Drosophila melanogaster: one gene and its partner. The protein of the gene in region 1 interacts with the protein of each later gene in a pairwise test. Each region holds a gene or a part of one and is shown in the gene's direction. Other genes may lie near its edges.

Region 1 (6,043 bases):
TGACTTTTTTGTGCACTGTAGCCAATTTCCATAATGAGGCTCATTAGCGAATTTAAGTTCGTGGCCTATAAAAGGCTTTCCTCGTGCGGTTCATGATGGAAAAGTGAAAATTGTCAGCATGTCTCAGCATCAGATGGTTACGGAGGACTTTTATAAGTACCAGGTGTGGTACTTCCAAATCCTTGGTGTTTGGCAGCTCCCCACTTGGGCCGCAGACCACCAGCGTCGTTTTCAGTCCATGAGGTTTGGCTTCATCCTGGTCATCCTGTTCATCATGCTGCTGCTTTTCTCCTTCGAAATGTTGAACAACATTTCCCAAGTTAGGGAGATCCTAAAGGTATTCTTCATGTTCGCCACGGAAATATCCTGCATGGCCAAATTATTGCATTTGAAGTTGAAGAGCCGCAAACTCGCTGGCTTGGTTGATGCGATGTTGTCCCCAGAGTTCGGCGTTAAAAGTGAACAGGAAATGCAGATGCTGGAATTGGATAGAGTGGCGGTTGTCCGCATGAGGAACTCCTACGGCATCATGTCCCTGGGCGCGGCTTCCCTGATCCTTATAGTTCCCTGTTTCGACAACTTTGGCGAGCTACCACTGGCCATGTTGGAGGTATGCAGCATCGAGGGATGGATCTGCTATTGGTCGCAGTACCTTTTCCACTCGATTTGCCTGCTGCCCACTTGTGTGCTGAATATAACCTACGACTCGGTGGCCTACTCGTTGCTCTGTTTCTTGAAGGTTCAGCTACAAATGCTGGTCCTGCGATTAGAAAAGTTGGGTCCTGTGATCGAACCCCAGGATAATGAGAAAATCGCAATGGAACTGCGTGAGTGTGCCGCCTACTACAACAGGATTGTTCGTTTCAAGGACCTGGTGGAGCTGTTCATAAAGGGGCCAGGATCTGTGCAGCTCATGTGTTCTGTTCTGGTGCTGGTGTCCAACCTGTACGACATGTCCACCATGTCCATTGCAAACGGCGATGCCATCTTTATGCTCAAGACCTGTATCTATCAGCTGGTGATGCTCTGGCAGATCTTCATCATTTGCTACGCCTCCAACGAGGTAACTGTCCAGAGCTCTAGGTTGTGTCACAGCATCTACAGCTCCCAATGGACGGGATGGAACAGGGCAAACCGCCGGATTGTCCTTCTCATGATGCAGCGCTTTAATTCCCCGATGCTCCTGAGCACCTTTAACCCCACCTTTGCTTTCAGCTTGGAGGCCTTTGGTTCTGTAGGGCAGCAGAAATTCCTTTATATATCATTTATTACTGGTTATGCTCTTCTCCTTTCAGATCGTCAACTGCTCCTACAGCTACTTCGCACTGCTGAAGCGCGTCAACAGTTAAATTTCGAAACACCGCAGCACCTAAAGATTTTCAAGCCGATTTTTAAAAGCACTCAAAACGTTATGCACGTACATTAAATGAAATTATTGTGTAGAAATTAGCAGTTGCTTATTATATAGTTCGAAAAACTAATTGTGTCTTCTTTCCTTGGGGTTTCCTAAATCTTTTATTTACTTTTTATGCCTATTTATTTTCACACTATTTTCAAATCGTGGTAACGGTTTTAGAAATCTGCGCAAGACAGTCACACTGCGGAAAATACCAGACAGCTGCTGGTACGGAAAGGTAACACTAAAAAACAAACCAGAAATGCCATAACGCCTACAATTTGCTGACGGACAAAGATTAAGATGTCGGAAAACGCGAAAAACAATAGCTGCCTGCATTGCAGCGTATTCAGTACGAAATACCAGTACCAGGAGATCTTCGATGAGTTTGGAATCGAACTGGGACTGCAGTCCCTGCTGTCCAGGCATTACCAGCTCGAAGTGTCGCCCGATCCGCAGAAGCAGCAACTCCTGTGCGAAGTGTGTGTCACCAATCTCATTCGCCTCTTTGACATCGATGAACTGGAAAGAGAACGGGAAGCTGCGAAGGATGCGGCCCAGGGCAAAGATTCCAAGGCAGAGGAGGACCCCATTATTATTACCGAGGTCCAGGCAACTCCACCAGCTGCGAAACCAGCCAAGAAAACAGTGCCTTCAAGGCCCCTGACTAAGGTTCTGCGACCAGTGCCCATTATTCCCACCCGGGAACCGAGTGCCCGGATAAGGAATAGAGCGGCTGCTGCTTCCAATGTAACGCCTGATACATCTAGATCTCCAGAGCCACCAGAGACGCCTTCCACCGAAGATGCTGTTTCCAAAAGTGAGCCAAAACTGGTTTCTAAAGTAGCAGATCAGGAACATTTTAGTGTGCTTATACAAAATATTCTGGACGAAGAGGAAGCTGTTGTTGAGGATGAGACCGCAGTGAAAGAGGAGTCCAGTGAAGCTGTCCAGGTCACAGAGGAAACAGAAGCCCCTGGCCAAATAGTCATCCTAAACAGCGAGGCTGTGACAGACACCAATCCGGATGAGAATGTTTACATATACGAGCATGAGGGTTTGTTTTAATTTTACCTTTTCCGTCCATTAAGTAACACTTAAATTGTTCTAGATGTTATGGATCCAAATTTGGACAATGTTAAGGTAAAACCCATAAGTTGTTCGTCTAGATTGGTAGCTCAAGCTGAGGAAAGTCAAAGCGATGATGACATCGACGAGGGAGAGACTAGCAATGTTGTTCTGTTTAACTTTGTGGACATCAAAGAGAGTGGGTATAATATCAAAAACTAAAAGGCAATCACAATTCTACATATCTTTACATTTACAGAGGATGAAGTTGATAATATTCCGGAGTACTTGGCCACCGTGGTGAAGACGAGCTTTGAAAAGCTGACATTTCAGTGGTGCACTGTGTGCAAGCACTGCTCTCTGAAATGTCCCACATTCGAGAGCCTTTTTAGTCACTTGTCAAAGGCACACAAAAGCCGGAGAGATGTCTACGAGTGTCCCATCGAAGGATGCAACAAGGAGTTGAAAGGTCGCAAATTCCTAGCCATGCATCTTGTTTTGTTGCACGCGCCAGTGGCTGAGTAATTATATTTACTAAAGGAAATATTTGTGTAATATATATGATGCTTGTATTACCTAGAATTCCGATCTACGGCAGCTGTCCGGAATGTAAATTGACGTTCTCCAACATTCTGCAGTACAACAAGCATTCTTGCGCGCATGTAATAAAAAAGAAGCGAGGTTTTCGCTCTTATTGTGAAATGTGTTCGCTGGAGTTTCCTTCCTGGAAGCGGTATGTTTATTCTCTCTAAAGTTAACCAAACCAATACTAATAATACTTATATTTCTTTACAGTTTTAATTTCCACAGCCAGTTTCACTTAGAAAAGCACAGACCAAGAGCTTGCTTCGTCTGTGACTATGCCACCACGAACATAGATGAACTTTTTCAGCATTTAAATTATTCTCATGAGCCAGTGGGCACCTTATTCTGCGACCTGTTAGTATTACAAATGCTTGTTAAGACATTTATATTAATTATTTATCCCCTAGTTGCGACCGCACTTTCCGGGACCCCTCCGTTTTTATGGAGCACAATAAGTCGCATGCCAATGTTAGCAGCACGACCTACTCTTGCAGCGAATGTATGGCCAACTTTGAGTCGCGGGGCCGGCTAAATGGACACATGGTAGGGCATGAATCTAAACATCAAATCCTTCGAATACGCTTTGTGGTACAGGAAGTAATTGAAATCCTTCTTTCAGAGAGCCATGCACGGCAGTGTAATAAGCTGTGAACTTTGTTCCCGGGAATTTGCCACCGAAGCTACTTACAATATTCACATGAAGAAGCATCTGATCATCGAAAAAGATGTGCACGTGTGCAGCACCTGCGGTCTATTAAGTGATAGCCGCGAAACCCTCCTAGCCCATGTAAATTCCGTGAAGACAGCCTGTTTTGGCTCGAAGATAGACGTGGAACTCCTACGGGATGCTTATGTGTGCGAGTACTGTTCCTCGTACTTCAAGGAAAAGGACTGTCTTCAAGCCCATCGCGATTCCGGGGTACATAAAGATGGAGTGTTTTTGTGTCAGCCCTGCGGCAAAGAATTCCCACATATGAAACTTTATCGCCATCACCTGCGCAACTATCAACAACTTCGATCGGACTCAACACATCGCAGGCTAGAAATATGTGTTTACTACATGTGCGACCAGGAAGTGAGTTGTCCTGCGTTTGGTCACAGAACGTTTGATCATAACATTATTTCCTCTCCTTTCAGAACTGCACAGAGTCTTACGTGAACTGGAACTCCTTGTACACACACAAGCGGCGCACACACGAATCCGCGAGCAAGCAGGCCGAGAAGAGTTCAAAGTCTGCCCAGGAATGGGTTTGCCAGTTTTGCTTAAAGGAATGCCGGTCAAAGATGTCCTTGTCTGTTCATGTGGCAAGGAGTCATAACAATGGTAAGTATGGTGTGCTTTATAATATGTTCTTCTTTTAATAAATAATTTTATATTTAAGACAACGTCACTTGTCCGTTATGCAATTCTTCGTACAAAAGCCATGATGCTCTGGCCAAGCACCATGCCTATTGGCATGAACCAATAGAGTGTCCTGAGTGCTTTAAAATCGTCAAAAACCGACGAAATTATGACACTCATGTCAATGTGGTGCATTCGAATAAGAAGCGCTATTCCTGCAGTGTCTGTCAAAAGGGCTTTTATCACAAGAGTGAAATGGAAGCTCATCAAAAGGTCAGTGCAGTAGACGGATCCACAAACGGTTCATATTAATAGCATATTTCCTGCAGCTTCATGGGCAGTCTTACAGCTGCGAACAGTGCAGTTTCACCACCAGGAACAAAAAGTCCCTTTCTGTTCATGTTCTTGGTCAGCACTACAAGCGATTCGCGTTCGAGTGCAACGTGTGTAAAAAGAGGTTTGGACGCAGTCAAGGATTGAAGACGCACATGCAGCGAGCCCATGGTGATAAATACACGTGCCGCGACTATTTCGACGGCGGCTGTGGACGGACTTTTGTAAACAGTTCCCAGTTGAATGTGCATGTCCGAAAGATTCACGATGGCATCATTTTGCTCCAGGAGGATGTGGTTGAGGAGGACGAATACATCACCGATGATGCGCCATCCACATCTAAAAAGCGCCGCCTAAATGAAAATAATGAGTTTATAGAGGAAGCAGATGGGGATGACATAGTGATGGAAGATGATGACGAGGAGGCGGACGATTTTATTGACGAGATACCAGATGAGGACACACAGAATTAAGGCTGGTACATTTCGGTAATGTAAGATTTGCTGCTAAAACAGATTTATTTAGTTTGATTTTCATTTGTTTGCTACCAATTAATTGAACACAAATGATGTCCCAAAATGACATTAATATGCATTCCATAGTATATAATATATAATTCTAGTGATAATGTAATGGCTACTTTAGCTAATTTCAATTGCAATTAACTAGCCAGAGTCTGGCGGAAGCAAATTTGATTTATTAAGCGTTGTAGTTTGGTCATTTAATTGCTGAAGATTGTGTGCGGAGCTTACCTGAAATTGTTATTAACTTGTTTTAAAAAGATTCTTAACGAAATGAAACAAATCTTCCAAGACTTACTGGGCTAATTGGTGTTATAACAATGGCGGTGCGCGTGGCACACTGCAGCAGCGCCGTGTCCTCGGTGGACTCATCACAGTCGCCATCGGCATCCGCGTCCACATCGACTTCTACGCCAATATCACTGTCGATCTCCCAAGTGGGGAAATGATCCATTTCACCCTCACAGTTAAGATCCTCCTCCTCGAAGTCCTCGTACTCATCGATTAATATAACTAAATGGGAGATAGTTTGTGTTTAGAATAATCTAACTTTTAAATGCTTTCACAACACGTATCATATTTTTTAAAATAAGAATTCTCTAATCTGTCGATATACATTTAATTCATAGTTATAAAAAGGAAATTAAAAAAATATAGAAACAAAAAAAGCCAATATAATGATTTAACGTTTTATTTATGTTCCCATTCGCTAGGCAAGTAGTCTAAAACTTTTACGAAAATAATACTATAAATAGAATAGATCTAATTTTTAGTTACTTGAACTATCTGGCGGCGTTG
Region 2 (3,200 bases), on another chromosome or scaffold:
GATTGTATTCGATTACACTCGATTGTCTGACAAGACCATGCCCGCCAAATAGTTTGGTTCTGTTCTTTGCTAATTACATTTTTATAACTTTTTAAAATTTTTTTAACTCCAACCTAAGATTAAAAATGAATATGTTTTAATGGGTTGGACTCTGCTAATTTTAATGAAATATAAGCTTCATTAAGCAAAAAAAAAGCCAAGTTCTTTTATGGATTGTGGGTTTCTCTCTGCAGAGAACTTTATTTTAGTGCATTGTGTGTTACATTTGAGTTGAACGAACGTGCATACTACTGCGACTTCTTGTCCTCCTTGGCGGCCCTGCCCACGGGCTCATCCTTGAAGTGAAGGAACACGAATGAGAAGACAAACACGCCGATCATCATTGAGAAGGCGCTGGTGTAGTAGGGGAATGCGCTCGGGATAAAGCGCTCGTACTGTGTGTGCTCCAGCGGACGCACCGACACCTGGGTGGTGCTGTACAGATGCGTGTAGCCCACGCGATTGTAGTCCACCTTGAACTGATAAACGCCGTAGACGTCGGGTATCTTGAATTTGGCCTGGTAGGCGCCCGTGTTCGTTTGCTTCAGATAGGTGCGGACGAAGGGATCGATGCGCACGAACTCCAGTTGAATGTCGCTGGCCTTAAAGGCGCGCCACTCGCCCTGCACCAGCTCCTCGATGCCGATGGTGTAGACGACCGGATCGGTGATGGTGTACGCCTGATCCGGTGGCAGCAGCTCGCCCTCCTTGTGATGTTGCACGGATGCCACGCGCAAGCGGCCAGTCTCTCCAAATACCCACTTGCTAATGGACTCGGCCACGTCGCGATTACCGGCCAGCTTGTGGAACACACCGCTCTGTGCGTACTGCACGGCCGTTGTGAAGCTCTCGTCAGAGAAGAAGAGCAGCGAGCCGGAGAACACTACGCGGGCATTGTTCCTCGCCTGCAGGGCGGCGATTAGCAGCGTGCCTCGGCCAACGGCATGCGGATAGTCGGAGACACTTGCCTCGGGATTGTAGCTATAGGCGGTGCTCTCGGCGGTCAGCAGCTTGAGTACCAGCGGGTTCTCCTTGTCGGCAATCAGTCCTGTACCGCGATAGAGCAGCGGTGCGGCATCCGCCTGCCTGTTGGCCTTGCCCACAATGGTGTCGGCCTGTATAAGATTCTTGGCGGAGGTCAGGATGGTTGTGTGCTCGCCAGCATCGCTAACATCGTAGTGCAGATGGTCAATGACCGCCGCATTCTCCTCGTCCAGCTCGAAGCCGCACTCGGAGGCGAATTCCCTTAGCGCGTCGCCGGATTTCTCGCTGCCCGCCACCAGAACATTGCCGCCATCGTCGACGAACTGGGCCAAACGCTCCACGCTCACATCGCCGCCGAATTCCTCGACACTTGGTGCGAATATGATGACGTTCTTGTACAGATATTCACCGTATTTGGACAGCAGCAGGCTGGAGTCATCCGCCAGTTTGTAGGTGAGCTTAAATCCGCGATCTGTAGCCCAAAGTTAAACAATTATCAACACATTTCATTGTCCACGTCAGAGGTTAACCGGCATTTTCACTCACCCTGCAGCGATTTGAAGAAGATCGAGTGGGTTTCCCGGATGGCCAGGTTGTCCAGCAGAACCAAGGTGTTGGCGTCCGTTTCCAGTACCGCCTGGCAGTGGGCAATCGCCAAAACGGCGATCAGGAGAGCCTTCCACATCATTTTATCCAACTAAAACACAAAATTCTCTCCGGCTTTTCTTGAAAAAAAAAAATGACTGGCTGTCAGTGTGGCCGAATACTGGTAGGGTGTGCCAAAATATATACAAATATACCAGAAGGAATTCAAGAAATTATAAAAAATCGATGATTTGATTAATAATCGATTACATTTACTAGCCAATTTATAAACAAAACATTTTAATTCAAATTTTAGATTGTGAATAACATTCCTTAGCAACAACCATAATGGACATATTCGAGAGCTTCTGTCGCACGTGCGGAAACGAATGCCTGGAATCGCTGTCCATTTACAATGAGTGTGCCCAAGTGCTTGACCAGATGGTGCCCATTGCGGATATGCTAGCGTCCTGCCTGCCCGCCTCCTTGCCGCCACTGGACCCAGAGGACGACTATCCCAAACAGATCTGCCGCATCTGCGTGAAGAAGCTGTCGATGGCCTACGAGTTCAGCCACCAGTGGCTGGGCGCCCACGGCGAGTTCAACGTGGCCCTAAAGTTCGAGCAGCGCCGAAGGCGCAGCCAGGCCAGCAAATCCCAGTCGCACACGCAAACCCAAACTCATCCGGTGGAACCGAAGAATGAGCAACTGCCCACGGTGCTGGCGGAAGCAGTGTCGACCAAAAGAGGTGGGTGTACAATTTTCTTATCTAGGCTAGGTAGATTTCAAACTTCTCAATCTTCCCCAGCAGCTGCTACTCCCACCAACGAGTTCAGCAGCGACTCCGGACCGGCCTTCAAGTGCGGCTTCTGCGGCGAATGTTTTTACACGGAGAAGGCCTGCAAATTTCACTTAAAGTTCTCGCACAAGGATCTTTAGAGAACTGTCTGTTTTTTCCCTTACTTGTAATTTGGTTTTAAGTGTATAAATCTTTTGTGAAATTAATTTTAAATTAGGAATATATATATATATTCCTTCTCTTTATACAAGTGCCTTCTTTGAGTTTTTAAACCCAAAACGTTGCAATTGTAGGGATATAGAGTGCATTTGTGTAAGTATGAAACACAAAAAAAACCTGGAAAACTACTACCCGCTATAGTTGAACCACTGAACACTGGCTTTTGTACATTTGGATGTTTGTTTTACTTAGCTTTAGAGTAAACAAAAAAAAATCAAAGATGAAAGCCGACAGGATTTTTCCGAAGGGTCCAACTCCTCTAGTCATCCTCGTCGTTGCGCACCTTCAGGGCGCGCGGATCGTCGTGGCGGTAGACAACGTAGCCGAGCTTGTAGCGTCGGTTATCGCCGTCCTTGGCATAGTAGTTGGCCACTCCGATGGTGGCCATAACGATTCCGGCGAGGGCCAAAGCGGATCCGCCGACGATGTCCGGAATCTCGTTCCAGGCGCGCTTCAGCAGCGATGTGGAGCCTCGGGCAGCGGATGCGGACATCTTGGTACACTGCGGGATGGGGCTATTAGTTCACTGGGCGCAGCAAATAAAATTATAAAGCATTTACCAAAAATTCAACGC

Evidence for each region. Proteins that work in one complex are often made in the same cells at the same time.
Region 2: the proteins of CG18011 (region 1) and Dlip1 interact in a two-hybrid assay, tested with the Drosophila melanogaster proteins (2 studies listed by BioGRID).

What each region holds. Positions count from the first base shown.
Region 1 is NT_033778.4:10,140,686-10,146,728, forward strand, and holds CG18011 (uncharacterized protein), read left to right. Parts: upstream 1-1,652; 5' UTR 1,653-1,699; coding exon 1,700-2,453; intron 2,454-2,507; coding exon 2,508-2,663; intron 2,664-2,723; coding exon 2,724-2,985; intron 2,986-3,044; coding exon 3,045-3,197; intron 3,198-3,259; coding exon 3,260-3,403; intron 3,404-3,456; coding exon 3,457-3,592; intron 3,593-3,668; coding exon 3,669-4,124; intron 4,125-4,186; coding exon 4,187-4,373; intron 4,374-4,431; coding exon 4,432-4,664; intron 4,665-4,720; coding exon 4,721-5,197; 3' UTR 5,198-5,389; coding exon of another isoform or gene 5,390-5,476; 3' UTR 5,477-5,521; downstream 5,522-6,043. Other genes in the region: Or46a (odorant receptor 46a), read left to right, coding at 134-1,234, 1,296-1,349; KCNQ potassium channel, read right to left, coding at 5,390-5,476, 5,544-5,758, 6,023-6,043.
Region 2 is NC_004354.4:9,156,721-9,159,920, forward strand, and holds Dlip1 (dorsal interacting protein 1), read left to right. Parts: upstream 1-1,901; 5' UTR 1,902-1,956; coding exon 1,957-2,356; intron 2,357-2,416; coding exon 2,417-2,547; 3' UTR 2,548-2,655; downstream 2,656-3,200. Other genes in the region: Ost48 (oligosaccharyltransferase 48kD subunit), read right to left, coding at 288-1,495, 1,570-1,711; NdufA3 (NADH:ubiquinone oxidoreductase subunit A3), read right to left, coding at 2,886-3,119.